4 linked regions of the Schizosaccharomyces pombe genome follow. The gene in region 1 interacts genetically with each later gene. Each region holds a gene or a part of one and is shown on either strand. Other genes may lie near its edges. The genes, in order: ras1, byr1, moe1 and byr2.

Evidence for each region.
Region 2: of ras1 (region 1) and byr1, changing one suppresses a phenotype caused by changing the other (phenotypic suppression), as found in Schizosaccharomyces pombe (4 studies listed by BioGRID, with this or other methods).
Region 3: mutations in ras1 (region 1) and moe1 are lethal when combined (synthetic lethality), as found in Schizosaccharomyces pombe (2 studies listed by BioGRID).
Region 4: of ras1 (region 1) and byr2, changing one suppresses a phenotype caused by changing the other (phenotypic suppression), as found in Schizosaccharomyces pombe (6 studies listed by BioGRID, with this or other methods).

The regions. Positions count from the first base shown.
Region 1 is NC_003424.3:2,015,121-2,022,237, reverse strand, and holds ras1 (GTPase Ras1), read left to right. Parts: upstream 1-1,606; 5' UTR 1,607-1,749; coding exon 1,750-1,755; exon of another isoform or gene 1,756-1,826; coding exon 1,827-2,480; 3' UTR 2,481-2,776; downstream 2,777-7,117. Other genes in the region: protein Ddb1, read left to right, coding at 1-1,014; leu5 (coenzyme A transporter), read right to left, coding at 2,889-3,869; signal recognition particle subunit Srp21, read right to left, coding at 5,297-5,397, 5,540-5,729, 5,782-5,853; SPOM_SPAC17H9.06C (uncharacterized protein), read left to right, coding at 6,100-7,102. UniProt on the Schizosaccharomyces pombe protein: Participates in the process of sexual differentiation and the determination of cell shape. Essential for mating and for recognition of the mating pheromone, but not for vegetative growth. Does not regulate the intracellular cAMP level.
Region 2 is NC_003424.3:663,686-671,719, reverse strand, and holds byr1 (MAP kinase kinase Byr1), read right to left. Parts: upstream 3,717-8,034; 5' UTR 3,568-3,716; coding exon 2,545-3,567; 3' UTR 1,978-2,544; downstream 1-1,977. Other genes in the region: THO complex subunit Tho2, read right to left, coding at 1-1,237, 1,293-1,341; transcription factor TFIIH complex subunit Rad15 , read right to left, coding at 4,620-6,938.
Region 3 is NC_003424.3:4,548,914-4,557,156, reverse strand, and holds moe1 (translation initiation factor eIF3d), read right to left. Parts: upstream 5,318-8,243; 5' UTR 5,307-5,317; coding exon 3,603-5,306; 3' UTR 3,416-3,602; downstream 1-3,415. Other genes in the region: rex1 (putative ribonuclease H70), read right to left, coding at 1-1,734; Fe-sulfur cluster assembly ATPase Nbp35, read right to left, coding at 2,089-3,042; gmh5 (alpha-1,2-galactosyltransferase), read right to left, coding at 6,188-7,231. UniProt on the Schizosaccharomyces pombe protein: mRNA cap-binding component of the eukaryotic translation initiation factor 3 (eIF-3) complex, which is involved in protein synthesis of a specialized repertoire of mRNAs and, together with other initiation factors, stimulates binding of mRNA and methionyl-tRNAi to the 40S ribosome.
Region 4 is NC_003423.3:1,737,757-1,746,394, reverse strand, and holds byr2 (MAP kinase kinase kinase Byr2), read left to right. Parts: upstream 1-4,050; 5' UTR 4,051-4,098; coding exon 4,099-6,078; 3' UTR 6,079-6,347; downstream 6,348-8,638. Other genes in the region: cyclin Clg1, read left to right, coding at 1-354; RNA-binding protein Mlo3, read left to right, coding at 1,683-2,282; mrpl7 (mitochondrial 54S ribosomal protein uL5m), read right to left, coding at 6,554-7,417. UniProt on the Schizosaccharomyces pombe protein: Serine/threonine protein kinase involved in conjugation and sporulation. It is thought that it phosphorylates the byr1 protein kinase which itself phosphorylate the spk1 kinase.

The sequences.
Region 1 (7,117 bases):
TTGAGAGTTTACGAAAAAAACACTTTAAGTGAGATTGCTCATCATAAGTTTAATGAATATGAAATGGTTGAAAGTATCATTTTAATGAATGATGATAAACGTGTGGTTGTGGGCACAGGTTTCAACTTTCCAGATCAAGATGCCCCAGATTCAGGCCGTTTAATGGTCTTTGAGATGACTTCCGATAATAATATCGAAATGCAAGCTGAACATAAGGTCCAGGGATCTGTGAACACTTTAGTTCTGTATAAACATTTGATAGTCGCCGGCATTAATGCCAGTGTCTGTATTTTCGAATATGAACACGGTACTATGCACGTAAGGAATTCTATTAGGACACCTACTTATACGATCGACATTTCCGTTAATCAGGACGAAATCATCGCAGCAGATTTAATGAAGTCTATTACCGTTCTACAATTTATTGATGATCAACTAATAGAAGTTGCCAGAGACTATCATCCATTGTGGGCAACATCCGTTGAAATTTTGTCAGAAAGAAAGTACTTTGTAACTGAAGCAGATGGCAACGCAGTGATTCTTTTGAGAGACAATGTCTCTCCTCAATTGTCCGATAGAAAAAAGTTACGTTGGTACAAAAAGTTCTATCTTGGTGAATTGATAAATAAAACTAGGCACTGCACATTTATAGAACCACAGGATAAATCCCTTGTCACACCACAGTTGTTATGCGCAACAGTTGACGGCAGCCTCATGATTGTGGGTGATGCCGGAATGTCTAATACTCCTTTGTTACTACAGCTGCAGGATAACATTAGAAAAGTTATACCTTCGTTTGGAGGCTTGAGTCATAAGGAATGGAAAGAGTATCGAGGTGAAAATGAGACCAGTCCATCTGATTTAATTGATGGCTCTTTGATTGAGAGCATCCTTGGTTTACGTGAACCTATATTGAATGAAATTGTAAATGGTGGTCATGAGGGTACAAAGCTTGATATTTCTGTTCAAGATCTAAAAAGTATTATTGAAAATCTTGAGAAACTACATCCTTAACGTTTTCTATCAATTCTGTTTTTGCCGCTAGAATGTAATTTTAAGACTATATGCAATTATCAATGTCTCATTGTATATTTATAGCAAACGAAAATGTTTTTGAATGAAAATCTCCACTATCGTATCTCTTTCCACGGTCGATAAAACGCATGAAAGGAGTTTAACATATACAAAATAATATATGGTGCCGACCTCTTCATGCATGTATTGCGAACACTTGAGCAAAATTTTTAGAAGCTTTTTAATTTTAATAAAGAAATATTTAATGTTCAGTATAGAAAGTTCAAAAGCAATACTTAAATTTGCTGCTAATTTGGTTAAGTTGGGCTGAATAGGGAATTCTTCAAACAATACTTCGTATGCTTTTAAAGGTAGACAAAGCACTAATGCAATATATCTGTCAAATACAAATGGCAGAATTTTTGGTATTTTAATAGAAGATCAAATGTTTATTGATGGATTTAACATAATTAGCTGTTAACATTAATATTTCGTTTTTATTGCACCAGATACCTTTAAAAAATTATAACTTCTGAATTTCTTTATTACTAGCTTGTCGGTTTGCCATCAGTAATTGTTGACTGCATTACTTGAAAACTGCCAAACACATTTTAACGAGCTTAAGACCAACCAATATTTTTTAATTACCAAGCCTACACACTTTTTGTATTTTGTTTTAAAAGCAACCTAAAGAAATATACGATTAAACTTAGTGTGCTTTATAAAATAGTGAATATGAGGGTAAGTCTAAGCAATGACTTGGGGTTATCTTTTATTGATTACAACAAACTAATCAACGATAATATTTATAGTCTACCTACTTAAGAGAGTACAAATTGGTAGTTGTAGGAGATGGTGGTGTTGGTAAAAGTGCTTTGACAATTCAATTAATTCAATCGCATTTTGTTGACGAATACGATCCTACAATCGAAGATTCATATCGGAAAAAGTGTGAAATTGATGGTGAAGGTGCGCTTTTAGATGTATTGGACACGGCCGGTCAAGAGGAATATTCCGCTATGCGTGAACAATATATGAGAACCGGAGAGGGTTTTTTATTAGTTTATAATATTACCTCTCGGTCCTCTTTTGACGAAATTTCTACATTTTATCAACAAATCCTTAGAGTTAAGGATAAGGATACATTTCCAGTCGTTTTAGTGGCTAATAAATGCGACCTTGAAGCTGAACGTGTAGTTTCAAGAGCTGAAGGCGAACAACTTGCAAAAAGCATGCATTGTTTATATGTTGAAACTTCGGCGAAGCTAAGGTTAAATGTAGAAGAAGCTTTTTATAGTTTGGTTCGCACGATCCGTCGCTATAACAAATCAGAAGAAAAAGGTTTTCAGAATAAGCAGGCCGTCCAGACTGCCCAAGTTCCAGCTTCAACTGCTAAAAGAGCTAGCGCTGTAAATAACAGTAAAACCGAAGATGAGGTTTCAACTAAATGTTGTGTTATATGTTAGCAAGTATTATTGCAGAATATTTGAGCTGTTTGGTGAATGCACCGTTCCTGTCTTTTGTTTCATCTCTTTCTTTTCATTTCAATAATTGTTTTTTCATTTAACACAATTATTAGCAGCTATCTTTAAGTACTTCATTTTCCCTTTGAACCATTTGCACATCTAGTTTTGGCTGCTAGTATGATAGCAAATTATTCAATTCAGAGTTGTGGACTTAGAAAAAACGTGTTATTTGACTTTGGGTTGCTATTTCTTGTTCCGTTTTAATAAAATACATCTCTTTCATTGCATGGTCACGATGTAACAATCTGCAACTAATGAATATATCATACACCTATAATCCCGTAGATCTTTTTTTATAAATTTTTAAAAAAGGGATAATTTTTTTCATAGAAAACTATGTCTGCAGTCTCAATCTATCCCTAAAAGCGCTTTGCTGTGATTGTAAACAAAAAAGCTAGTGCTTACCATTGGGATAACCTTAATGTAACCTATGGTAAGTCCAACGAAAAAACCTCTCATACCGGCTTCTTTGTAAGTAGTTTGTACTACCTGCTTAAGTCTAAGAAATGATTTATTTTTTCTGATACCACCAATTTGCATTTTTCGTCGACAAACTTCGAATGGGTAAGAAACCGTTTGACCACAAACTCCTGCAAATGCTCCACAAAGTAGTTCGGGCCAAGTTTTAAGTTTTTTATCTGACTTTTTTGTAGAAACCCATTCGTCAATTTTTTGTTTATGAAAAAAATCAGTTGCAAGATCGTAGGCAAGAAACGACATACCAGCATATGGAAAGATTCCAGTTAACGTAACAGAAAATCCACGATAAAAATTACAGATTTTTGACAAACGGGATAACCCAGGATACTTCTTATTGCACAAAAAATCACGTTCGTGAAATATATCTTTTGTAACTTGAGTTAGGGTAGGATTCTTCCCTGTATTGGTTATGTAGGCTAAACGAACACGAATCAGCTCTAACGGGTATGTAAAAAAAACAGAGCAAGTTCCGGCAAGTGATCCTGATAAAAATCGCCGAGCATGTGTTTCATGTTCAGGGTCACGAATTAAAACACGCCGTACTTGTTCGTATGCAACAAATTTAATGCCCGCATAAGGGAAGACTCTGTATAAAGTAGCAGTGTGGCCTTGATAAAGACCGTGTAAGCCATAGACGTGGTAAATGTGTTTGATAGCCTTATAAAGCCCATGCCGTGAATAAGCATACCCTCGATAAGAAGCGTGATTGGTTTGGTAAAGGATTTTCACTCTATCTAATGGGGCAACTACTGATTTTGCAACGCATCCAGCTGTACCACCAGCAATTCCAGATTTGACTAAGAATTCCCATGAATCCTTTTCCGGATATTGGGCAGTTGAGTTAGGCATGTAGAATCCCTGAAAGTGTTTAAGTTAAATAAAGAGGGGATTAAAAAGATAAATGGAAGGACAAAACTTTTCGTACCAAATGCCTAAACATAAAAAAATTGTTAAAACTGAACGTTTTCAACTTCTTACTACAAACAAAATTACATGTAAATAAGATTTAGCATCAAATGTCCAAATATCTTGGATCAATAACAGTGATTGAAGGAACACGAGAACACTTATAGTAGTAGCAAACAGTAATCTGAATAGAAAACACTTCAGATTGTCCAACAAGATTACCTATAAAGCAATCAATTATGCTTTTGAAAGAAAATGAAAGTATCTTTTAGCTTCTGTTAGAATTCCAGTAAGCCCATAGGTAAGGTAAAAAAAAGGCTGTAATTTAACAAATATATTTGTAGGCTAATAATAAAGGATCAAAAGAAAACCAATCCGTTGCTAAAAAATAAAAAATTAAGCCCCTGAGTATCCCAATAATAAATAAAGAAAGGCACTCCTAATGCTCAAATAATTGTTGAGTTGCCGATTTTTTGGTGTTAATGCCCACAGCACTGGAAGGTGGAAATTAAGCAGGCAGTAATATATTTCTCATAATTAAACAAAAACGTTTACTCAATAGCTTTGGAGATAATTGATGATAATAATTTTGTTTAGATCAATCATAGATTAACATAATAAGAATTTTTGAACTATGATGCTAATTCTCTCAACCTACATAAATTGGTTTATGAACAAAATGGTAAACAAAATGTGATAAACTTAAATAAAGATACTATTAAGGTGAAAATGAAGTTGTGTCTATACATATCCATATTAAAAAAGTTGCTCTAGCAAACTTTAAAAGGAAAATTGCTTGTATATTGAATATGAAGTTCACACTGTAGTAAACTAGTTTTTGTGCAATCGGTAACTGTAAACAAACGATATTTTAAAAGCAGAAACATCAACTTTTTTTACTTATTTGCTAATGCAGTAAAACTTTTCATCCTTGTCTAAACGATCTGTCCTAGCGAATGAATAATGAAATTCACCGAATAAAGATTTTTGTACTAAATAATATGTTACCAACTGTGCATAAAGGAAATATTATATTTTAGCACTTGAAATACCTGTAAATGAATACACATGCTTGTTATACTTTTATAACCAATCACATCGGTAATACCAATGCGAATGCATCCTTTTGATTATGTATAGCATTTGCAAATAAAAAATGATATTAAGAAAGAAGGGGCCATTATTCATGTTGGTCGAATAAGAAAGTACAGAACGACTGACTTACACTGCAAATTATCCTTTTTACCTTTATTGATAAACCGAGAGAATTGCTATTGTAAGATAAAAGTAAAGAATTAATCCGATCCTAAGATATCTAACGTGACACTAAATGAACAAAATGAAAAAAAAAAACACGCCAAGTGCTACACTCATTTCTTCTTCCCCCTTTTTTTTTTCTTTGAACCCTTAGGAGGAGCGGAAGGCTCCGCTTTCTTTTGCTCTGTAACCGGAGAAGCCACTACCTCTTGTTCTATATAACATGACTGTTAGCGAAACGTAAAAATTAGAAGAGCATAGTTACATTAATAACTACTTTTAAAGGAAAACATCTTCCTTCCAAGCGCTTCTTTTTATAACAATGCAAAAACAATTGATATACTAATAATACATACCTGGTTCAGGAGGAATTTCGTTACCTGTGGAGACATAACTAAGTTTGTTTGCAATTAGAAGTAATCTGCCAAGTTCAGCCGCCTTGTCAGTCCTATATTTTAGACATATTCCAGAAGCACTTTCAAAGGCTTTCGCGATTAAATAATTTTGACTCTGCTCATTCGTGCGATATTTGATACTAAGTTTGGTCTAAATGAAAAAAGTCAGAGTTTGATTATCAAAGATATCATCAACACCATACCGTTTTTGGATAAGCCTCCGTTAATGATTTTGACTGTGTGAAGAACTCATTCACAGTTTGCAGGTAAACCATGGTATAGTGGCTGATGGTAGGATCAACACATCAGGCATGCACCTCGTAGTGTTGTCTGAAACACAACTAAGTTATATTTGAGTCAATCGAAGGTTACTAAAATTGAATATAATTCATCCAAAAAACGTAAAAGCTTTTTTTACTATTTTTTCTACTTTTTGGTATACTATATTGGTTTTTCACGTATAACAAACTACTGAAACTATTAGTCGACAAATCTGTCAACTTAAAACATTCCCCTAATTTATGGTATCAAATCAAGACAATGTACAGAGAAATGATGTTCAAAAGTATCCGATAACTAGGTTTGTAAAGCGAAAGAGCAATGTTGTGCTTAAAAAGAACAAAGGAGCTATGAAATCGAATTCAAATTCACGCAGTAGAGGGAACAAAAAATTAAAAGAATCCCAATTTTCTTCTCGAGATAATTTTAGAACCACTCAAACTCAAGCATCTTCGTCAAGTGAGCCTAGTGATAACACGAACAGACTAGTTCCGGTGGTAATTATTGATAATAATACTCCAAAGAAAGAAGAAAGCAATGCCGAAAAGTTAAAGTTAGATAAAGATTCTTCAAGCGTTAATTATGAGAACCAAATCAGCAAACCGCTTATTACTTTCTCCGATATTCACGAAACCGTCAACGTTCCGTTTCTTTGTTTAGACAAGCACGACTCAAAAAATGAGGTTGCGATTAATTCACATGAAGATTCGCCTGTATGTCTTGAAGATATCACCGGGTCACTGTCATCTACTTATGGCAACGATAGTTTAGGTGAATCCAACTTGGAAGAATTACCCACTAGTGATAAAATAAAGGGAGAAAACATGGGAAGTCGAAAGAAACGAAAAGGATTTGTCATTGATTCGGAGGATTCCGACACTGGAATTCCAAGAGAAGAAAATGTTACGATTACGAGAAAGACGAAGCTGTCTTCTAATATACTATATTCCGATTCTGATACCGAGCGACAGAGCGATTCTGGTTCAAAAAACGTTGCAAGACAGTTTTCTCGAATAAAACGAAAAAGGAAAGTTTTGAGCTCATCTTCTGAAGATGATGAAAGTTCATCTCCTGAAGATTTGTTGAAGCCCATAATTAGATCAACAGAAGAAATGGAGAATTTAAATGAATTAGAACAAGAGGTTCAAGATTTGGACCCTATTGATGAAGGTTTCGAAGAAAAAGTGCCAAGATTTCGAAATCCTTCGAAGAAGGCATTTTATGAAAAACTACATAGTTTAAGAAGTAAGTAATTTTTTT
Region 2 (8,034 bases), 1.4 Mb from region 1:
TAACGACCCAAGATTAATAGAGATGAAGATAAATCCCCGATGGACAATAAAGATTTTAGTAGACCCAGCTTCTGTGAAGGTTTGGCTTTTTTTATTTCAGGAACAGCTTCAGCTTTCTGGCCATCCATGGTTTCTCCGTCTTCAATTTCATCGTCGGGCAATGGGGCCGCCATTGTTAAAGCATTTCCTTTAGCCTTAAAAGTCTGTTCATCTAATTTATCCTTATATTTACCCAACTCTTTACCAAGCTCTTCATCTGATGGAGAAAGATGAGCCCATATGTTATCAATGCTAATAAAATTATATTTAATCAACAAAGCAACCATCATAAAGTAAGATTCCAAATTCTCGTCATCTTCTTTATACATATATTGCAAATTATGACCCAAAACTTGAGACATTATGCTCTTTGTATTGGTGAATCGCTCGTCAAAATTAAAAATACCATTAGCATTAGACAGATTATTTAAAAATGTTTCCTTTTCGCGATCAGGTAACTGATTCCAAAATTTCCGCTCTTTATTCGGACCCCATGGGCTGTTTCTCAAGATAGAAAGGAAAAAGCGCCACGAATCAAGTAAATTTTCAGAAAAAAGCAACAAAATCAAATCCAGTACTTTGTTCGGATCTAAATCAAAAGCACCAATAGTACTGATAATTGACTTATTTACTTGAACGATCAGATAATCTTCGTTTAAGGATTTATTGCGAAGACAAGTTAAAGCATCAAAAAAGTTTATCATTAAATGTGAAAATCCTTCACTTTCTTCTCTAAGCAAATTAAATTTTTTTTGGCGGTAGAGTAGCGAAGTATTTGTCCGCACAATTTTCCGATTTAGAAAATCGCCATTAGGAACGACATTAATATTTTCCAAAAATTTGCAATCCAAGCGAGAAAGCAACCATTCCTCTGGAAGGAATTCCTTTAGTCCTTTTCCAATTGAAACAAGCCTCTTTTCAGCTTTATCATGACTTCCTTCGTGAAAGTTTTTGATCCACTCTGTGTCAAATAACCAAAGCGTATCAATTACATAAGAAGCTAAGGTATTTTTTTCCTCCAATCTTTCAAAAGCTAAGGAAAAAATAGAGAAAAATATGTCTACTGGTAACTTCTCTTCAATGACACATTTTTGAAACAATTCTTGGATTGATTCAACACGTTCGTCACGCGTTCTATTAGATGCAACAAGTTTATCAATATAAGGCTCCCATTCCTCTGAGAGCTTCTTTTGATTTTCTAAAATTATATTCTGTTAATAAAAAATTAATCGGTATTACCTCGAACTTCTTACCTGAAACACTAACTTCGCCTTGCTGATCCTTTTCTGGCAACGAAGTCATGAACACTTGTTAAAAATTACAATCGTAGTGAAACGGATTGCAACAAAATTTTTTAATGTTAACAAGTGACAAGGCTAACTAAATTCAATCTACAGCACTAATCACTGATAAATCTTTTGCTGCGTCTTGCAAACAAGTAAAAACCCAGAAAGCTTGGTGTTAAAGTGAAATGAAAACTTAAAGTACTTCGCTACTTATTACAGTGGTTTTTCGAATCAGAAATAGCATACTAGCTACGCAGTTCGCCGTTAGTAATATTACGCTACGCTATAATACTTACGTTGATTATCACTATATGTCACATGTCCTAATTATTCATCGTACACGTACGTTACGATATTTAGGTGATCTTAATAATAATCTCTTAAAAATTTATATTATTTTGAATACTGTAAATAGAGCTACTGTTGATCCTCATTCCTCAGTTCAGTTAATAGCTAAATTAATGATAGGTAACAATATAATCTAGATAGTATAATACATACAACCTGTAGCTACAAATATTACCTGTATATTGCAATATAATAGGTCACAAGGAAAACTCTTTGGAGTCTACGTATCGTTAACACAGATACCAAACTGCATAGCTGGCAAGTAAATAATAATTGCTTACTTCGTTAAATTTTACATCTGAATGGTTTATGTATTAATTGTAATATTTGCAAACTACGGGCTTTAAGCTTTAATTTTTTATCATCTGGTTTATTAGAAGTTGTGCGATTTGACATGCAGGACTCTGATTAACTTGCTTGGGTAAAACTTAACTCAGACTATTGTGGACGCTGTAACTCAAGTAGTTAAAAAAAACATTCATTGACTTAAATCGAAAGCAATTCAGTGTACCGAGAATTACATTTGAACACAGTCGTAATGATAATTAATAATGGAATAACCAAAAAAAGAGGGCATTTACATAGCACTTTAATGAAGTAAAAAATTGATAAACAAAATATGATACCTATTTATGGCCGATCTAATAATGCTTTGTATTAAGAAAAAAGCGGAAATATTCGTCAACGACAAAATCTCATTGTTCTCCACATTGTGTTGTACCACTATAATTGAAGAGGTGTGGTTAGAACCAAAAATATCCATTTCATGACAAAGTTTAATTTAAAAAGATTTTTCTGAAATCCTTCTTTTTGACGACAAGATGTTTAAAGGTCTAACATAATTTATGTATCCATTGCGTCCTTTGCACATTTACGAGGATCTAAAGTTGGAGGCCCAAGAAGCAAGGTCAACATTAATCATAAGAGCCTGTTGAAAATATGGCATCGCACAGAGTTGTTGTGGAGAGGCGCGAAGTGTAGGGTCTTTATGTAAACAGGCATCAACGAAAAGTCTGAGGTCTTCAGGAAACGAAGATGGAAGTCTAGGTGGTTCTTCTTGAACAATACAATGAAGCAAATCTAGGATCCCTATTGAATCATCGATATTCGAAAACGACCAAGGTAATTCTTGGGTGGCAAGTTCAATAATGCTGATTCCTAGAGACCAAATATCACTTTTGACTGTATATTTTCCACCTCTAATTCGTTCAGGAGACATATAAGTTGAAGTCCCCACAAACGTTTGAGCAACCGAGTTAACTAGTTCACCTGAAACTCCAAAATCGCATAACTTTATTTCACCACGAGAGTTGACGACAACGTTGCTAGGCTTTAAATCCCTGTGAATGATATGTAAAACGTTGTATAAATAAATGAGACCCTTCACCATAGAATTTATAATTTTTCCTAGAATATCTAACGGAATAGGACCTCCCTCCCGAAGAATTGCATCAAGCGATCCGCAATCCATGTATTCCATACATAATGAAATGTTGTTTTTATACTGAAAAGCTCCATAAAAACCGACTATGTAGGGTGAACGACAGTGGTGTAGAACACCTAACTCTCGCAAAATCTGCTTCTGAAGTTTAGAGTCTGACCCAACATAAACTGTTTTCCTAGCCATAAAAATATTTCTATGCTTTACCAATGAAACAGCCCCACCATTTCCCTCTCCCAAATGCCTCACTACTTCCAAACTGCTATTGTCCAAATCAGATATCCAAGCTGGGCGTCGATTCATATGCGCACATTGCTCCATAAATGCTTCGACATTGGATTCAAAGCTTTTTTGATTGTTAATTAACTCTTCCTTATGATCATTATCAGAGCTTTTAACAGAGGCGTTAGGATTCAACACAAGACCTTTTGGATTTCGACGTCGTTTAAACATTTCTAGCTATTGGCCAAATTCTCAAAGAAACCTGTATCGAAGATTATATCATTTAAGATACTATTAAAGTTGCTTCTTTTTCTGTAATTTGACAGCTGACTGTATTCAATAAGTTACTTTGCTAATCAAAGATACAAAGCAGTAGTTATGACAGGATTCTGACTACCCCAACGTGACTAGAGACAACCCTTGCAATAAGCTACACTTATTTTTTTTTCTATATTTAAGAATTCCTGAAAGCGGTATCCTTTTTGTGCTAGAGTAATTTTTTTATACAGTAGTTTGGTAAAGAAACCATCATTGATCTTATATGTGCTTGGCAATTACGTATAAGCCAACCGTGAATCCGTAAAACCAAAAGATTTTTTATTTTCAAGAAATTTATATATTACATAGAATACAGCAATGAATCAGTTGTACAACCCCAAAACGTTCATTTATTTAGAACTAAGTATGGGAGACTAATTTTATCGACATAAAACTATCAAGGAAATTTTTTAGATTATGAGAATATATTATGAATATGTAAACTTTTGTTTTATGTATCTAAATGATAAACAGATGTTTTGTTTATATAACTAGGCTTACAATTACTGCATCACGTATTTTAACTAGCTCGCTTAATGTAAGCTTAATTTCCATAGCAGCATGAAATTGCCAATAATCACTCTTTGAAACGCTGGATTGTTATTGATGGGATGGAAAATTTAAGAAGCATTACAACAACTGAAACCGATTTTATTTGAACACAGTCTCTAAAAAAATTTTAAAGTACTTCGAATTTAGCGACTCGCAAATTAATTGCCAACTGAGTGTAAATAATATTTTTTCTCTGCTCTGCGATCTTAAAACAATTCGTAAGTAGCATGCGTATCGTGATGACGATTGAAATGTCCACTATACAACTCTCGAATACAAGTTGATACATACATTGTCCACACCTACAAAAAAGTTAGCCATTCGCTTCCAAATATCTTCATCGCTGTGTTCATGAGTTTTGGATTGCCTTAGTAAAGATGATTAGAATCAAAGTATTTTACAAATGGCTTCTATTAAGTTTCAACCACATCAATATCCATCTCATCCTCATGTTTGGATTGTTCTATAGCCGCAGACTTCAATGCTTTCTTCTGATGAATCAACAAATCATCAAGACTCCACCAAGAAATCCCTTCCTGATCAGACGCAGTGAAAGGCTGTGCCATAGTTCGTAAAAATTTTTTCGCCAAAGCGAGGGACATATCAGTGCTTAAATTTGTAGCGCCTTCGGTTATATACTGTTGAATCCATTTAGGTAATTTTGTACGCTTATCAGACCGACCATATCGTTTATCTGCTAACACCATAATTCCATGATCATCTTTTCCACGCAAAACGCGACCTAAACATTGGGCAGCATGCCGCATGGCATCAAATGTTAAGAAATCTGCTTCCCGAATTTGATACGTATCCCTCAGAAATTCTAACCGTGCTTTTAAAACACGACTCTCAGTATACTGATACGGAATACCAAACATGATTACTGCTCTACCATAATGATGATCAAAATCCACTCCTTCTGAGACTTTTCCTCTAGCGACTGACAGCAATACTGCTCCACGGCCATTGCTGCAAGCAGCCCGGTAAGTCTCTAAGGCGAGAGTTGTTTCATGAGGATCTGGTGTTTCCACCAAAATCAACTTATACTTCCAGACTTCATCTAGAATACCCATACTTTGCCAACTAGAAACAATACTTTCAAGGTAGAGATAACTTGGAAAAAATGCGACTAAGCCATCAGGTGTAATTTTCGAAAACTCAACCAGTATATTACCGTAATTGCGAACAACACTAGGATCATTACGGGCTTCAAATTTTGAAGAAATAGCTACTTGATCGCTACCCCGAGTAACTACCATAGGAAGGAAACAGTTTCGTGCAAGTGACATTCCATACGATTCCTGCATAACAGTATTAAACTGCAACATCTTGGGGTACATATCGAGGGGGGATAAAGTACCACTCGTGATAATCACAGACCTAAATCTTTCGAAAACTGGTTTAATAGCTATTGAGGCGTCAAGACAGGAAAACCGCAATATTGGATTGGGAACTGTAGCATTTTCTGTTTCAAAGGGTTCCAAAATTAGGATAAATCCACGCTCATAAGTAGCAACAAGGGTCGCAAAAGCTACTACTTGCTGCAAAGAATGAAAATCTTCAACTAGTGAAATTTGTAAGGCACGAACAAGACTAGTGAGTCGCTCAGCGCAAAACCGAAGCGGCTTTTTGTCTATAAATGTAATGTCTTTAACATGTTGCAAAAAAGAAGTTGGTGTTTCAGCAATAACGTGCAAAACTTTCATCCTTGTTTTTAAATATTCTACAAAACGCTTCAAAAATGCAATAAAATGTTCGGCTCGTCGAATATTTCCAGGAACAGCTTCCTTTAAAACATCCTCAGGCAAAACGGGATTCGCCATAAACTGGTCTTCGTCATTTGCGGCATTAGCATCTTGAAGGCCCCGAACAAGCTTTTGGTATTCATCCTGAAGTTTTTTTGAGTCAGACTGTTTTACTTCGTTGACTTTTTGCTCAAGAGACAAAATGCTCTTCGAAGCTTTTCTCAAAGAAGATTCTGTCAAATCAATACTTAAAGACTCAATACACACATTGTCAATATTGTGTGCTTCATCAAAAACAACAATGCAATCTTTACTGAGTTCTCGAGAAACTCGTTCAGCAATTTTGGGGTCTAGTAAATAATGATACGAATAAATAATAACATTACAAAACGGTAGCATACGACGTACAGTAAAATAGGGGCATCGTGTAGTTTTTTCGCCGTATTCTGTGATATCATCAAGGGTCCAAACACCGTTAGATATAAGGCTGTGTGGCTCAAGATCTTCCAAATTGTCGTGGAACTCACAAGTAGGAACATCCATACCAGCCAATCTTTGCTCCCGCACAAAACCCGCCGTAAGTGAGCGACAACGGGCATCTACCACATTCCCATTTTTTTCACGACGAACAGAAGGGTGTAAACATAAATTTTTGCGACTGGTTAGTCCGAGACCCAAAAATGGTTCTTCATATCCTAACTGTGAAGTCCGATACGCCATTAAACGCTTCAATTCAGCTAATGCTTTATCAATTTCCGACATGGTACGTGAACAATAGATGAGCTTGCGATGCTCAGGATAATGTTGTTGATATGAAACAATAAGGGACAAAAGAGAAATGGTCTTTCCAGTACCCGAAGGCATTTCTAAGAGCGCAATGCCTCCCGCATCCAAAGAATGTTTCAAATCACACATATACTGATACTGCTCGGGATAGATGCGTGGATAAGGAAACAGAATAGGTAGATCGTCAATATAGAACTTCATTATGGGTGTAATCCGTTGACTTTGAGGAAATTAATTTGAGTATATGACAGCCTATTGGACCAAAAAAAAATTTAGGAATTAAATAATAAGATAAAAAGTTGAAACAAAAGAATTATGAACTAGCATTGATGAATAATAGTGGGTAAAGATCGCTTAACAATCGCTTCATAAAAATGAAATGAATAAAGCGAGAAATAAATTTTTATGGGTATTATAAGAATGAGGTAGGTTCTGCTTTGGTTCAATATTTAGTCGTCAATCACTGATACACAAATATGAATAAGTTCACAAAGATAAATAAATAAACATGGGATGGAAGAGGGTAAAACAAAACGAACCAAGAAATAATTCTGACCTAAGGTTTAAGTGAGCTACTTTACAGTGAGAATCTCAGGAGAAACTACTTGTCGATCCAAGCTTAAAGAATGAGTCCTGAAATTAACAGTGGCTGCTTTATATTTGTAGTGCATATAGAACTGGATTATGAAGAACGCTGAGTTGGTACGGTAAACATTTATAAGCAAAATACTGTAAAGTACGTTAAATTGGATAATATTCGTAAATACATGGTGTACATACAACTATACATTGATGGAAATGACATGGTTAATGGAAGATGCAATTGCTTAATAAATACTAGTTTATTGGAAAAAAAATTCGTATTTTCGTAGTTACCGAGCATAAGCGCTACTTTGTTTTCTGAAAACAAGTTTCCGCAATACTACTCCTAAATAAACACAAGGCAAAAAGAATACATTTGCAATATTCCATTTATTTTGTTTTACAAGTCAATTCCCGACTCTGTAGACAAGTGAAAAAGGGCAAACTCACATATAGCTGCTGAATCATTTGCAAACTAATAACCGCTTATTCAAGCTTAATGAATATTATTCTAAAGAGGGAAAAACAAATACATACGTATCAGGATAAAAAATAAAAGGAATTAGAATCGCCAGGTGAGCAATAAACAGCAAGTCACCGAAGAGTTATCTTCTTGAAATCATACAGAATACTATATCAACAGTTTTTGAAATGAATGAAGTGGTTTTTTATTATCCCGTAATCACCGGTTAGTACAGTTTACCGGTTTTAATGA
Region 3 (8,243 bases), 2.5 Mb from region 1:
AATAGCGTTTAATTTTGACATTTCGATGGGATTTCCAGTACCAGTATACAAAAGCAATAGAGAACCTTTTGGTAAGGAGTCGTATAAAAGACGAATTCTTCGATTAAAACGCTCTAAAGCAGAAGAATAGCTAGTTACTTGGTCCTCTTCTACCGAATCATTCTCTGTATCAGTATCAGAGTTGTTTTCTTGTTTTGTATTTCGATTAGCGTTCCACATAGCCGCATGCTCCAATTCGCGAAAACGACCCCACACGAAGTTATGCATGTCTGAAAGACTTACAACAGCGCTTACGACTTCATCATCATTCGCACAAGAAACGCTTTTATGAGCCGCTTTGCCAATGCACGACTCCGGATTACCATAGTCGGCAATTGCACCAATCAATGGAGTTGGCTGCTGTCGTGACAATCTATGAAAGATTGACTCAAAGTCTTGGTTAAACAACCCAAAGGCAGGTCCATTCTTAACTTTCAACTTTAGAAGATCCACACAAGCAAGAGCATCTTCTGCAGAATCGTGCCCCAGAGCTCCCGCTTTTTGTATCTCACGCCTCAACCACTTCGTTGCAAGCCATTTAAGCGATGGTTTTGAAGGGGGACCACGAGTGTGATTATAAATGTTTGCCGTATCAATGATATGAGGGTGTGTAAATTTTAAGCAATTAAGATCAGAATTTAGACTATGGCCTAAAAGAACGGTATTGTTGTCCACAGTCTTTTTTAAGTAAGATTGAACATCGGAAAGAACAGTAGTAACATTTCTCAGTTTTTCTTCAGTTATGCCAGAATACTGGGTAACATAATCAGTGACGGGTGATTCTGGTTTTACAAATTCGTCGTAAATAACCTCACTTTTCATGTCTACAATAGTTACTCTGGCTATTTCTAACCCGTTCTCAGTCCGCACCATTTCGCAATCAATAGCAAGAATTTTGGGATTTATAGGAGGAGAATGAAAATCTCCTGCAGAAGCAACCCATCCTGAAGGCTGAGTAACCTCTTCACCCTTCATGACAGTAGGATGTAATGGGTATTCGTCTTCAATGAAAGATTCATAACTCATTAAGTAATCAGATGGTTTGGAAAAACTAGCCATAGCACGTGTTTCTTTATCTCTTTTCTTCTTTTGTTCATTACTCAGAGGAGATTGCAAAAAGGCATTCACCGGAGAAAAGACACGAAATCGATCTCCAGGAGATCTCGTAGGCCATGCGCGATCAAACACTTCACAAAAATCAGGTAATTGAATGGGGCCATTTTCATTTAGCAAATTCGGCAGCAAAAATGAGTGCTTGTTGCCGCGCACGGGTTGAAACCCAAATTGACTAGGCTCCAATCCAGGAACTAAAAGTATCACTGCTCTATGAATCATTTGTTTATTTCTCACTAGAACCCATGAAGGAGCCTGTCCATCAGCTAAACACCAGAATACAAGCTCTTGTAGGTCGCTAATTTTTAGGGGTTTTTGAAGATTGTTTTCCGTAGTTTGCAATCTAGGGTAATTTTCTTCATTTAGCGGTTGCTGAGATTTTTTTAACTTTTTCTTTTTCTTTTTTTTACTCTGAGAGTCGTCATTAGAGTCTGGTGAATCTTTCACTCCATCATTTGAACCATCCATACTTAGGTCTTCTTTTTTTCGCTTCACTTTCCTTTTTTCTCCGTGTGAAGCAACATTCTTTGACTTTTTTTCAATGGAGTCTTCTTGGGTTATCCCATCCTGAAGTTCACCCATGCTTGAGGATCCCATCTTTGACATTTTTTATTTTGGTGGTATCACTATGGTGGTCGGCTATTCCGCGGGCAATGCATCTTCAGATCCTCGGAATACTAATGTGCTTATGTTGATTGCGAGTTTTTATTTGAATTGCAGGCTTTAGCATTGTCTTGTATTATATCCATTAACTAAGGATTTCAAATTTCTTTTTAATCCAAAAAATGTCACAATGACTACATGTTTACTTTAAGTGCTCAATGAGGATATACAAGGAATATACTCAGAAGGTTCAATAAATATTTGAATAAACGTATTTTATATTATACAAAAAAATTGAAATTAAGCAGATTCCAACCTTTTTTTATATTTTTTTCATTGCCTTTTCTGTAAACTCTCATCAATTTTGTTAATAATATCAATGATAATTTCGGAAGCAGGCGATTCAGGACATTCATCAATAAAGCTTTTTCCAAAATCACATGAACGTGCAATCAATGGGTCCAAAGGAATTTTACCCAAGAATGGTAGTCCCATTTCTTTTGCTAACGCTTCACCTCCTCCTGTAGTAATAGTGAATATATTAGACTTGCCTTTGCAAGAAGGACATACAAAACCGCTCATGTTCTCCACTAATCCAAGGATAGGGATGGACGCCTTTCTGCAAAAATCTATTTCTTTACGGACGTCTTGAAGAGCAACCTCTTGAGGAGTAGTAACTACAACAGCACCATCAATTCCGGAATTTTTAAAAAATTGAACCAAAGATAAATGTTCATCGCTAGTTCCCGGAGGAGTATCAACAATCAAATAGTCTAAATTTTCCCAGTTAACGTCTTTGATGAATTGTTTGATCAGCCCGTTTTTTTTGGGCCCCCTCCATATAACAGATGAATCTTCGCTTGGTAATAAAAATCCAATTGACATAACAGCCAAGTTAGGGCATACATAAATAGGGGACCAGCCTTTGCTTGATTGATGGGCTTCCTCCTTTTCAACACCCATTATTCTCGGAATTGAAGGCCCGCAAATATCCACGTCCATTAACCCGATCTGCTTGTCTTCTTCAAGCGATAACCCCCATGCTAATTGCGAAGAGAATGTGGACTTTCCAACACCTCCTTTACCTGATAAAACAAGAATTTTGTGCTTGATTTCTTTCAAGCGTTCTACAACCAATGGTAAATCTGGATCTTCTCCACGAGGTGCTGAAGCGCAAATTTGTTGATTAGGGCATCCTTCACATGCTGATGCAGTTCCTGCATTTTCAGATGACGGTCCGGGGCAATGCTCTGGTGCATCTAAAGGAACAGTTTCTTGGATTTGCATAGAAAAGCCAATATTAAAGCAAATGCTTAGTAAAAGTCTTTATTTCACGTGCTTAGTGAACTTTTAGTAGCTATTTTTGTAAACCACGTATGGTAAATTATAAGTGTAATCCGGTGTAAATTCTCTTCAAACGAATTTTTGCTAAAAGCTTTACCTCTTGTTTTACCACAATATTCTGACTAAGCTTGAAACCGTTTTACGATCTCTTGGCTAGTGGCAATGAGCTATATCGGTTTTCTACTAATCGAGTTCTAATTTTTTTACCGTAATACCCTAAAGTGTGTTAAAAGCAATGTTCATGAAAAAAATCACGTTGGAAGCATCGAAAATCAGATATTTCCAAATGAATTAAACGGCACTTAATTTTCCTTCGCTTCATTTTTACTATTCCAACAAATACATTACTTTACACTTAGCTTCTAATTTACCGAGAAACAGTTCATAAGATTAAAAAATAAAGAAACCGAAAATATAAAACCGATTTAAAGATCTTAGATTTGCACATGTAATTGAGTATTATACATGTAACCTTTTTAATGAACTTTCTACATCCGTCCTTTTTAAGCAGTAGAAGAAGCTTCAAGGGAGGGTCCAGCAGCTTCTTCAAAAGTGTTGGGTGGAACAGAGTACAAGCGTAAAATAGGTCTGTTGGGATCCTTTACAAGGACATATTTTCCATCAGGCATTTTCAAACAGACATCTGCAATAGTACGAACAATACCCCAACCATTAGACAAACTTAAGTTCATTTGGGAAGCCAAATCAGCAGGCTTATAAGCTACAACACCCAAAATGCCGTGGTGCTGAGCGTCACGGGCATTTGAACGACTGACAAAACCAACCTTCATGCTATCAACACCAGCCAATAAAGCTTCGACAGTCCAACGGGCAAGCTTGCAACTATTGTTCTTCATTTCAGTGGCAAACACAGCACCTCTTTGACTTTCGAGCTTGGAACGCCAATCCACAGAACCAGTAACATTTGTAAATTTGGGATCGTACTCATTAAGAGCCTTGATAGAAATGTATTGAACATCGTTCGCAGGATTTTTAACATAACCGTCAACTTCGGTACGAACCATTAGCTTAACAGGCTTTTCGTCTGTCTCGAGAGAAAGATCAACATCCCGATAGATATAACCGTGAGCAGCCAATGGCTCACTTTCTTCCTTAGAATTATAGAAGGGATTGGGATGAGGTAATTTATATTTCTCTTCTTCGGTTTCACGTAAAGCTTGGACGCAGAAGTTTTGGTTAATGTACGTAGCTTCGACAGAAAGGGCTCCAGGAGAATTAACACCTTCGCGGTTGTCAGCGTCCATGGGAGAATCGTATGCGTTTTCATTGACAGTGAGATAATCAAAAGGTCCGCCTTCACGTTTGTCAAAGAATAGCTTTCCACTTTGGTGAGTAATTACAATATCCCAGGGATACACTGAGCGAGTTGAACACATCAATAAAGACAAAATGGAATCCGTAATGAAAATGTTAGCATCACTATTAAGAGCGAGTTTTTGGATAACGGGGTCTTCAGTAGTGGTAGGGTTGTAATGAACACGGTCCAAGGCTTGTAATGGTTTTTCTGATTTAACATGAATCTTGTCAAAAGATTTGTCATAAGGATAAATATAACCATATGAATCCACAGTAACAGGAGCAGCAGCAGCTAAATTGAGCTTAGATAAATGGCTGAACTCAACCTCGTCAAGAAGCTGCCAGTCGTCACCAACAGTAACACTGGCGTTGCGAAGACGTTGATGTTTATCATAATCCTTCCAACCAAACCGACGACCTCTTGCTCCTCCAGCGCCTGAGGATCTAGAAACCACTGTATCACCTGCACCTCTTCCACCAGAAGAACCGTAGCGACCGCCACGACCACCTCGTTGAACGTTTTGTCCTCTACCGCGAACCTTCAATAAAGTGCCGCCGTTGCGAGCGGAAGTGCGTGTACGATTGACAGAACCACGATCGATCACCGAGAAACTGGATTCGTCCTCCGAATGCTGATAACCAAAAATGGACGACGCGCCATAACCATAAGTTTGATATTGGTCACGGAAACGACCAGCAAATGCTCCTTGACGTCCACGTTGTTCACGTCCATCTTTAGGTTGATCAACAGACCAATCTGCAATTTTTCCAAGACGGTCACCTTTACTAAAAGGAGCATAAGGAATATCACCTCCTATCTGTTCCGTTTCAGGAGGTCCCCATGCTGATTTTACGGGTGCTAACTCAGGCAATTTAAATCCAGTTGCCATTTGGGAGTGGTGAAGTTTTCTTCGAAGTGGACGCCAGTATAGTGTGCAAACGAACTGGGAGACGCTAAAACACCAAAGCCAACAATGGTAATATTTGAAGTTCTAAAGCTTTATTTGTAATACAAAAGTACTTAAATGTAATATATATACTTTTTGGTTCGTGAAAAAGTTAAATGTTATACATTTCCTTTTGCAATCAAGGTGCTATATTTGTAGAAAAACTACATCTATTAACAATTAGTATATGTTACTGTATTTATCAAACTACTTCTTTATTTGTGAACCCACATGCCTATTCAGAAGACGATATGTGGAAATCTCAACCACTCACTACATTATAAAACTATAGTAGGTAGAATTACTTTATCATACTAGCAGGTTATATCAGCACTAAATGTTATTAAATTAAAAAATGGGAGAAATTGATATTGAAATAAAAGATATGTTATGCTATAATTTAAAACTGATTACGACATCAGACTTTGCCTTTATAGTCATTGTCTCAAGGCTTAAATGTTTCTGACAAAAGCATGTTTTAGAAAATTTTAATTTCGTCAACGCTGTCTTTTGAAGAAAGAAAAAAATGAACGCCAAGGTTCTCAGACATTCTCTCTTTTCTGTCATCACATGTCGCATAAAAAATATACACATCTAATCCTATTAAAACAATTGTTTGCGAAGAAATTAATGTATAAAAACGGAAAGCACCAAATATTAAGCAGTGTTAAATGACCGCAAAAGCTGCTAAGTAGCAAAGGAGAGAGTTTAGTGCATCACATGATAAAGGATCGCATTGACAGCCTAGCACACGCAAGGAAAAAGAATGATAAAGTATGAATTTAAAATATTAATAATAATGATGGAAATATGTGAGGTCTCTATTAAAGAAACGGAACTAACTTCCTCCAACCCCGTTTTCTTTGCGCTAATCCCTTATAATGATTTATTTCATCTAGGCAGTCCCTTCCATAATTACAGCCTGCCAAGTTTACCAAGAAGTCTCCTTCTTTTTGGTTATAAAAGAAACGAGGATTTTCACCTTCACCAGCACAAGCACCTGGAGGATATGAATTGAAAAGGCGAAGAGGAACGAATCCCATGCCGCTTCGAAGCCAAGCATTATTCTCGTAGAAGTACTCAATTGCATTTTGCTCATCGTGAGGCCAATCCATGTGCTTTTGCCCATAGACTACTGGATCCCAAAGGAAGTCCATCAATCTGCTAGTCCAATCACTTCGACGAACCAGAAAAGAACCCAAACTGAAACCGTTGCAATCTTGCCCTAAAATAAAGTTGATATCTTCACTATAGTCAACAAATGGAATTTCGTGGAAATTTTTTGGATTGAACTCCATGCTATCAGTAATATTCCTGGTCGCAATATGGTCAAGTCTGTTAATAATAAGCTTTTCAAGAGAATATTGAGGTTCCATGATGAATGTTGTTAAATCGACCCACCAAAACCATTCAGCATGAGGGTATTTCTTCATGGCTTCCATGATATAATCTGCTTTTTCCCAAGATTCACGCCATTCATGAGCATATCGTCTCTTTAAGCCTGTGCTCTTCACAAAGAAATGATATCCGTGCCTTTCAGCGTATTTCTTCTTGTTCTCCGTTGAAATCTTCTCCAGCTCCCATTGTCTGGGACTTTTTACATCTAAAACGCCACCTCCGATGTTATTGACAAATATCATAACAACATTACTCTCTTTGGGACGCGTCAAGAGTGTATGCTTTAAAAAGTAGCCTGAGCAGAGCAACAGTACCACAAAGACGAATAACCTATGTAGATGCGTCTTGGTAAAATACTTCCTTCTAGTATCACCTTCTTTGGAATCAAGTACATTGGAAGTGCCTGGCTTAGGGTAAGGAAAGGATTTAAACTTAGCTAATGCTTCTGACTTCTTTTTGGGGTTCCACATTTTTTAATATAATATAAGACTCGACGTTTACGTTAATTCTTCTTATTAACCTTTAAATTATATATTTTCGAATGATAATATGACTACGGCAATGCCGTTTGAGGTTTCACACAGAACTAGGCTGTTTGGCAAAGGCGAAAGTCGTGAGCAAGTAACGTCCCAGTGTATCAAAGCTGGCATAGCCTTGTCGTCGAGTAAATAGCCAAAGTACGCGATAACGTCGGTAAAGTTAAGTAGATTCTGATTGCATAATTTTATTTATTTGTTTACTCAAAAAGTTTTAGCACTTTTATTCTCGCGTTCATCTACTCAGATATGCTAAATAAATTAGCGATAGAAATTTTCCATAAAATATGTCAGTTGCAAAGACTCTGACAGATTTCTCATGGTTTGACGATGAAGGTATTTAGTTTAGTAAACAAATAATTATCAGCTACCAACTAATTTAACAATTCTGTTTTAGGAAAAGTGTAAACAACCATGAGAAGGAAACTTGGCAGCAACTCGAATTAAGGATTCGGCATGTAAAAAATTAGATATTGTTAAACAATCATTCTAATGTAACAATTGATAAAACATCACTGAAATTCTGTTAAATGAAACAATATTACTAATATTCGATTCAGCATTTAAGACATTTAATTAATCCTCGTTATTTGCCATCATGACAACACCGTGTTTCGTCGTATTTTCATACGCGCTATTATATATCGCTTGCAATGTTTATTCATTCATTCTATATTATAAGTGTTGAAAAATATTTAAATTTATTTATTTTTTAAACCAAAATTAAATTCAACTGGTATATATCGCTCTTGCTTCATTTTTCTTGTTTCATACGTGAGGAATCTATCGGTTTTACATAATTTTTTACGAATTAACGAAGTTCGTTATAGCATTTTACTATTAGTAAATAGCGTTATTTTCATACTATATCTTATTTAAAAATTGTGCATAGCTCCGTTTCAATAATGACAATGTTAAACGAGTTTTGCATATGTTAACAACGAGA
Region 4 (8,638 bases), on another chromosome or scaffold:
AATAAGTTTTTGGATGACAATACGTTTACCAATCAATCCTGGTCGCAAGTTACTGGTTTCCGTACTGCCTTGTTGAACAGCTTTGAACAAGACTGGCTAGCTAGCATGTCCTGGAATCTTAGTCCCGGTCCTCGTGGTCAAAAGGCATGGGAGTGGTGGAGTGCTTCTTATTCTTTGTTTACTTCCTCAAACGCTACATACTCTGGTGAACAAAAAACTTATAGCCCTACTACGTTGAGCACCAACGCACCACCATCGCCCTCTTCTGGACGTTCTTGCTCTAATTGCAACTACTATTATCCCTATACACCCGTGGGATATTATCCAGTGTACAATCGCTATGCAATGACTTAGTGATCGTGCTTACTTTCTGCGGGTGTTGTTGCTTGACGGGGTTTGTTTTTCGTTTCCTTGCGCTTATAAACACTTTACGTGTTTTTGTTATTCTTGTAACTTTTTTCTCTTTTCATATTGTATGACGGGAACTTTTGTTTAACCCGTCATATTGTATTCTCTAATCATCTCCGTGATGAATTCGGCTCTCTTGAAATTAATTTGCCGTTTGATCTTGCTTTTCTACTTTCTTATTTTTTCAAATTTTAACAGAGAAAAAAAAAATTTCCCAAAAAAAATTGAAAAGTAGTATACCGAAAAAAAGGAACCAACTTCTTATCAGTATCTGTTTTATTTTTGTCGTTGGACTTTTATTTTGCTTTCTCGTGTGGCTTTGTTATCTATTGGAATATCTTTTGATGCAATTCTGATTTGTTAATACTGCTTGATGTATATACATCCGCTACTACTATAGGGATCGCGGATTTCCTTTTTAAAGTTCGCCTTCAAAAATTAGTAGTCTACTTATACAACTAGCTTCATCAAGAAATACATTGTGAATAGATGAAAAGGCCCATGGATGCTTTGAGTTTATTTTTCTGTTTCATTAGCAAAGATTTTACTTCGGGCATCGTTTTTGTCCTTATTTTGTTTATTTTTTCTCCTTTTGATACTTAAATGAGAAACCTTTGCTTGCTGTTTTCTAAGGATTAAGCATAAAATTTTTTATTGCGATTTTCCAACTCCCAAACTGTTTGTTATGATTACCTAGTTTTATTGCGCATTCGTCGTATGTCTACTAGTGAGATAACGGATTTATATAATCTCTTATACTTGATTCTGTTGCACTGAATCGTGCTTTTTAATTCTGAATTATGTTGTCTTTGAATGTTTTCCGTGTTTCTAAAAATTGCATAATCGTTATTCTTCTGTCTAGATTCTGCATTGTTAAGCTACCAAGAAGCGGCGAAGCGTTTGCATCTATCTAATCGTGTAGGCATCATATCAAACGTTTGGTATTATGGTTACAAAAATTGCTTTCCAAAAAAACAATAAATTCTGTTTTATCAATAATCTCTCAACTTTTATAAGTGAACGCGTCCATCCTAGTTCTGATGCCAATAAAGTGTAAAGTAAGTTTAATTTGTAATATTATTTTTTTGTCAAATTTCTGAAGACTTTAAAGTAAGCGTTCAACATCGCTAAATATATTTAGGAATCTACAAAATAATAATTTTAAATATCGACACCTTGTGTACTACCCTTACCTAGATCCTGATCAGTTGTAAACCCCACCCGCCACTTTACCACCTAACAACAACTAACTACCCAACAGTAACTCGATAAAAATGTCTATGGAATTAGATCAGTCCTTGGACGCCATAATTGCTTCAAAGCCTAAAGGAGGTATTAGAAAGCGTCGTGCGCGCTCTAACAAGCCAAAGCCAACAAAGAACGCGAAACCCGCAGTGAACACTGCCTCTGCCCTTAAATCCGTCATTTCTGAGGAATCTAAAATTATTGTTTCTAACTTACCTACTGACGTTACCGAGGCTCAAGTTAAGGAGCTTTTTGTGAAATCCATAGGACCTTGCAAACGCGTTTCCTTGGCTTACGGTCCCAACGGTCGTTCGAAAGGTATTGCAACTATCATTTTTTCTCGTCCTGGTGATGCCACTCGAGCTTATGAACAGTATGAGGGTCGTTTGGTTGATGGCACTAGAAAAATGAAGGTTGAGATAATCCTTGATCCTAGTCGTCAATTGAATTCTTTGGCTGCACGTGTAAGTCCTGCCAGCAACGCTAGCGCCACTGCTAGCAAGAATGGCGCCAAATCTTCCAAGCGGAAGACTACACGCCGCCGTAGAACTCCTAATCGTCCTAAAAAATCCGCCGAAGAGCTCGACAAGGAGATGGATGATTATTTTGGATCAAATGAGAAGGAGTAACTTTAATAATTTGAAGATTCTACTATATATACATATATTTTGAAGATGTCAAATGCTTCTTGGTATTAATAACGACCTATACAACATACTCCCTCAGTTAAATAATATTGGCAATATAATGCTGTTTCGAATGGCAGTTCTTGAAGTTGTTTTTGTGTTTTGGGTCTTTCGTAATGGATTTGGAGAAGTGAGCTGAACCAGTTCTTGTTAGTATATATGGTGTGTATTGGGTCATATTGCCATTATGCCATTATTTCAAAGAATTTCATTAAATTTTTTATTTATATCTCTTTTTTGATAGACATATATGTTTCATTGACATCGAACGAATTTGGTTACTTATTTCTTTTTCGGTGGTTAACGTTGGGTTGGAGGTTTTGACTTTTGCTAACTTTTGACATATCTGTTGATTTGTAGTATGCAAGCTTAAACGCTACCAAGAAGCTAAGCTTTGAGTCGAGTTCATTATTAGCATATCTGTTCACCTGTTATGTTTGCAACTTTATCAGCTCTTGTGCAGAAATCCTTTATGGTTGATAAGCGCTCCCTTCTTGTTTAATACAAAAGCAAAACCTATGTAGACAGTGGTTAAAAGAGGTGGATAATGGTAGCTTCGGCTACTGTTACTTTATTTAATCTAAGTTACTGTACAAGGCAGCTGTTTTGATCATCATGTTGCTAAACTATACTGGGTTGAGCTTACCGACAGGGTTTATTATTGCATGTTTGCTGAAAGTCAAAGCTTCCATACCCCAACTTGACTGTGTTTATTATGTTCATGATGGTTTTTGGTTCACGTCACACTTATTCCAAGTCTTGTTTTACTATATGTGGCACGGCTTGTTTGGATGAGGAATTTCTATTCGTAAAATCATCGCGTTCGATGGCTCTATTTCATCTTTGTCAAATTGTACATGACAGAACTGGCTTCATTCCTTCCTTTGTATGTAAACCACATTTATAGAACTTTTCCACGATTGCATTTTAAACTCGCTGATTGATGAATTACGCGCAATGCATTCTTTTGAAACTTTTAAACCCTAGTCACTTCCATTCCCGTTTTTTTTGCTTCCGACGTTTATTATTATTTGTAAATTATTGTTATGGTTGAATTGCCGACCGTATCTCGAAATTTGTTTTGGTAAACATTGCTTGGTTTTATGTTCGAACCATTGTCACATCAAACAATTTAAATTGAAGTCCCACACATATATTTTTGGCACTTATAATTTTGATTTTTTTGAAAGATCTGTACGATCCGTCGTGATTGTGTTACAAACCAAAAATCGCTTTCAGAATGCGCATTTGCGGGTTGCTAATTTTAGTGCGCGATTCTTGCCGTCCTCTGAAACCGATTGAAACATTGAAATTGTTAAAACAGTACTTTACGTTCGTACCTTAAACCAGTAGTATCTGAACGGTGGTTAACGACATTTGTATTGCAGATAAAGAGAAAGATTATTATTCACTTGCTACACATGGTTTATACGAAAGTTTTAGATTTTAATATCTGATTACAATTTCTCGTCGATATTTAGACTCCTTGTGGAACTCGTATATGTACGTAAGTGTTATTTAATAGATATCTGAATCTGTGCCGGGTGAGAATTGCAATACCTATATAAACAAGCAGCCTTTACGAATTTTTTGGCAGCTTCATTTTGGTAATGAGATTTAGTGAAACTAATATCGGTTATAAAGTGTATAGTTATATTGTTACGTCAAAGAGCACGAGACTAAGGGAGGCAGGTTAAACGTAAATGCTACCAACTTTGAACTTAGAAGTTATACGTTGTACAACCACTTTCCTGCATTTATGGAATATTATACCTCGAAGGAGGTAGCAGAATGGTTGAAAAGTATCGGATTGGAGAAGTATATCGAACAATTTTCACAAAATAACATTGAAGGACGACACCTAAATCATTTAACCTTGCCTTTACTGAAAGACCTAGGCATTGAAAACACCGCCAAAGGCAAACAATTTTTAAAACAAAGAGACTATTTACGAGAGTTTCCACGTCCATGTATACTGAGGTTTATTGCCTGTAACGGGCAAACTCGAGCAGTTCAATCACGAGGAGATTACCAGAAAACACTCGCTATTGCTTTGAAAAAGTTTAGCCTTGAAGATGCTTCAAAATTCATTGTATGCGTTTCACAGAGTAGTCGAATTAAGCTGATTACTGAAGAAGAATTTAAACAAATTTGTTTTAATTCATCTTCACCGGAACGCGACAGGTTAATTATTGTGCCAAAAGAAAAGCCTTGTCCATCGTTTGAAGACCTCCGCCGTTCTTGGGAGATTGAATTGGCTCAACCGGCAGCATTATCATCACAGTCCTCCCTTTCTCCTAAACTTTCCTCTGTTCTTCCCACGAGCACTCAGAAACGAAGTGTCCGCTCAAATAATGCGAAACCATTTGAATCCTACCAGCGACCTCCTAGCGAGCTTATTAATTCTAGAATTTCCGATTTTTTCCCCGATCATCAACCAAAGCTACTGGAAAAAACAATATCAAACTCTCTTCGTAGAAACCTTAGCATACGTACGTCTCAAGGGCACAATCTTGGTAATTTTGGTCAAGAAATTTTGCCAAGAAGCTCTCGGCGGGCTCGCCCTTCCGAATTGGTTTGTCCTCTTTCCTCTCTGAGGATTTCTGTTGCTGAAGATGTTAACCGACTTCCTAGGATTGATAGGGGATTTGATCCTCCACTTACTGTATCTTCTACTCAGCGTATTTCTAGACCACCATCGCTTCAAAAATCCATAACCATGGTTGGTGTGGAACCTTTATACCAGTCCAACGGAAATGAAAAATCGTCGAAGTATAATGTTTTTTCAGAAAGCGCGCATGGCAACCATCAAGTACTTTCCTTTTCACCTGGTTCATCCCCATCATTTATTGAGCAACCATCCCCAATTTCTCCAACTTCCACTACAAGTGAGGACACAAATACACTTGAAGAGGACACTGATGATCAGTCTATCAAATGGATACGTGGTGCGTTAATAGGTTCAGGATCGTTTGGACAAGTTTATCTCGGTATGAATGCATCTAGTGGTGAGTTGATGGCTGTTAAGCAAGTGATCTTAGATTCTGTTTCTGAATCAAAAGACCGCCATGCCAAACTTTTAGATGCATTAGCGGGTGAAATTGCTCTTCTACAGGAGTTGTCTCATGAGCATATTGTCCAATATCTCGGTTCTAACTTAAATTCGGACCACTTGAACATTTTTTTGGAATATGTTCCTGGGGGGTCGGTTGCCGGATTGCTTACAATGTATGGAAGCTTTGAGGAAACGCTAGTCAAGAACTTTATTAAGCAAACCCTTAAAGGCTTAGAATACCTTCATTCACGCGGCATTGTACACCGTGATATAAAAGGTGCGAACATCTTGGTTGATAATAAAGGGAAGATTAAAATTTCGGACTTTGGGATATCGAAGAAACTTGAACTAAATAGTACCTCTACGAAGACGGGTGGTGCTCGCCCTTCTTTTCAAGGCTCTTCTTTTTGGATGGCTCCCGAAGTGGTGAAGCAAACTATGCATACGGAGAAAACAGATATTTGGTCTTTGGGATGTTTGGTAATCGAGATGCTCACTAGTAAGCACCCTTATCCGAATTGTGATCAAATGCAGGCCATTTTCAGAATTGGGGAGAACATTCTGCCGGAATTCCCTTCTAACATTTCTTCATCGGCCATAGATTTCCTTGAGAAAACGTTTGCCATAGATTGTAATCTTAGACCTACAGCATCAGAGTTGTTGAGCCACCCGTTCGTTTCATAAGCCGGCTAAGTTATGATGAAAACAGAAACATTATTTTACGATCTATCTTTTTTATGTTTTTTTGCATCATTATCATTGCATTTATGCCATTTAGAACTAATGAATTTATTTAACCTATAAACCGTATGATTTAAGTTGCTATATTTTTCTACAATATTCATGTTTTTAATGATTTTGTGAATGTCCTTGATAAATACCATTATGAGTTTAGTTACTAAAAAAATACTATTTTACATGTTCAGTTTGTTTAAAAAATATCCATTGATTATTCCTTTTCAAGAAAAAACTTTTTATTTTTATTTACTTTGTGAAAACGATAACATAAATATATAATAACACATATCTACGGGAATTCTATCACTTAAACAAGTAAAACTCAAAAACGTATGTATGCATTAGTCGTAGAGAAGGGGATTTTTTGTTCACTCCTTGAGGAGAAAAGATTAGGTATAGTAGATATAAAATAAATTGTCTACTATCCAACATAGCCTTCCTTATTTCCATCTGTAAATGGAATAAGACTGCTGACGAAAAAACGAGCCAAACGGGTATCTTTGGAATTGGTTGTTATATTTACGTTAAATCCAGGTAAAGAGTGCGGATACATCTCATAAACAGCTTCAATTTGGGGAAATAAAGGCATGACTTCACTTGGTAAACCAAAAGATATGTTTCCTGTTTGATCTCCGCTTGTAGGACTCAGGCCCTTGAAATCATGAAGCTGAGGAAGAACCAACTCAGATAAGATTGAAAGAAATGTATACATAGATTCTCCAGTTAGAGTAACCTTTACACCTACTGGCACACCTGAACGAAGTTTCCAGGGAGAAACGTCCTTACGTGCATAGACTATTTCGGGCTGCAAACCCGTTATAGAACGAAATGCCATCATTGTACTCAAGAGCTGCGTTTTGTCAACGAGTGCTTCTTTATGCATAGTGCTGACGACAACTTTGCTAATAGAAGGAAGGTTTTTAGGATTAACGGACTCCTTTACTGGTAACAGAGGCTTATTACCACGCATTTTCTGAGGAGGCCGGTTTTTATAATAAGGGTTATCACCAATCCACCTTGGAAGTCTGTCTTTCTGTGTATGTTCATCTGTGCTTAACGCTGTATCTATGTCATGTCGATATGAAGCAGCTAATACATCCGGTAAAATGGTATCATGCAAGTGTTCTTGTAAGCGATTTAACATGGTGGGTCCTGGACGAAAATACTCAGAATTTGGATCCCATCCTGGTAGGGGCCTATTCTTGCCCAGTTTTTGCTTTACAGTGATGGTTCTTCGCTGCAGAAAGTTAACTGATATTCTGATATTTTTTCTTATCCCAAGCATTGTTAAAAATTAAAAAATGAATTAAAACAAGTATAATGACAAAGAGAAACCAAAAGCGACAAAAATACAACAGGTTACTTTCTAGGGAATTTTCGTGAAAATCCTTTTGCTTTATAAGCAGATGAGCACTTGTGTTATAATTTACCAATAAATTATAGTAAATAACACAAATCCGGGAAAAAATATTTATAATCACGAAACAAGGAAATTGTAAAGACCAATGTCCACAAATGATACCTGTTTCTCAAATCTTCAAAGGAAGGTTTTAACAAATGGTTATGGATAAAACAGGTAAGTCTCGCAACCAAAACAATTTTGCAATGGATCTTAGGTACTAGGGCTGGAAGATTGCTCGCGTTTGTCTAGTGTATTGTCATGGTTAGTGTACCGTATTACCTAGTGCCAAGTAAGGAAATCCGAGGCATCGTTATAATCATATGCCACACGATTTTGAGTGCCAAGTGTAATAGAAAGTATTGTACTTGTAACTTACAAACTTATTTAAACAAGTTAGCTTTAAAGCTTTAAGCTGATGTCTTTCTGTTTTTTTTTATACGTCGAAAAACAAATGTTTTTCCTTCAGCTGGTACATAAAAAAGCAGCTAATTGCTCTTCTTTTACAAGATGATTTTATTTTTGTATTTCTCAAAATCGTGCCAAATGGCATGCCACACATATTCAAATTATTGGAAAGTATTATTACTAACTGGCTCTACAAACTATTTGGATAGGATAGTGATGCATGTCATAAGATCACTTTCATGCAATAACAATACTAATCCAATTCGTTCTTTTGTATTCACTTTGTTCTTGTTCGTTTTTTACCTTCTTTCCTTTCAATATAGATGTGTGATGATGAATGAGAGATGCAAGAAGCTTAGCTCAAACACAATCCTGAAAGAGTAAAGTACTCAACATAAAATAATGCATTTATACATTTCGTACCTTTATCAATCTATTATGCAACAATAAAAGCATTTTATCCAAAAGAAAACAAGTTGTCTTAATACTTGAAAAGATCAATAGATTTACTTTTAGTTTGGTTTTCTAAAAAGAGAATCACACTTGATAAGAAATTGATTGCCTCGAATAACTCAAAACTAAATTATCTTAAACAACAGATACCGCCAGTGTATACTCAAAAATCATAGATATATGTTTCGAATTCGTAACACTTTAATGAAAAACCAAGCATTTCATAGGAAAGACAAATTTACACTT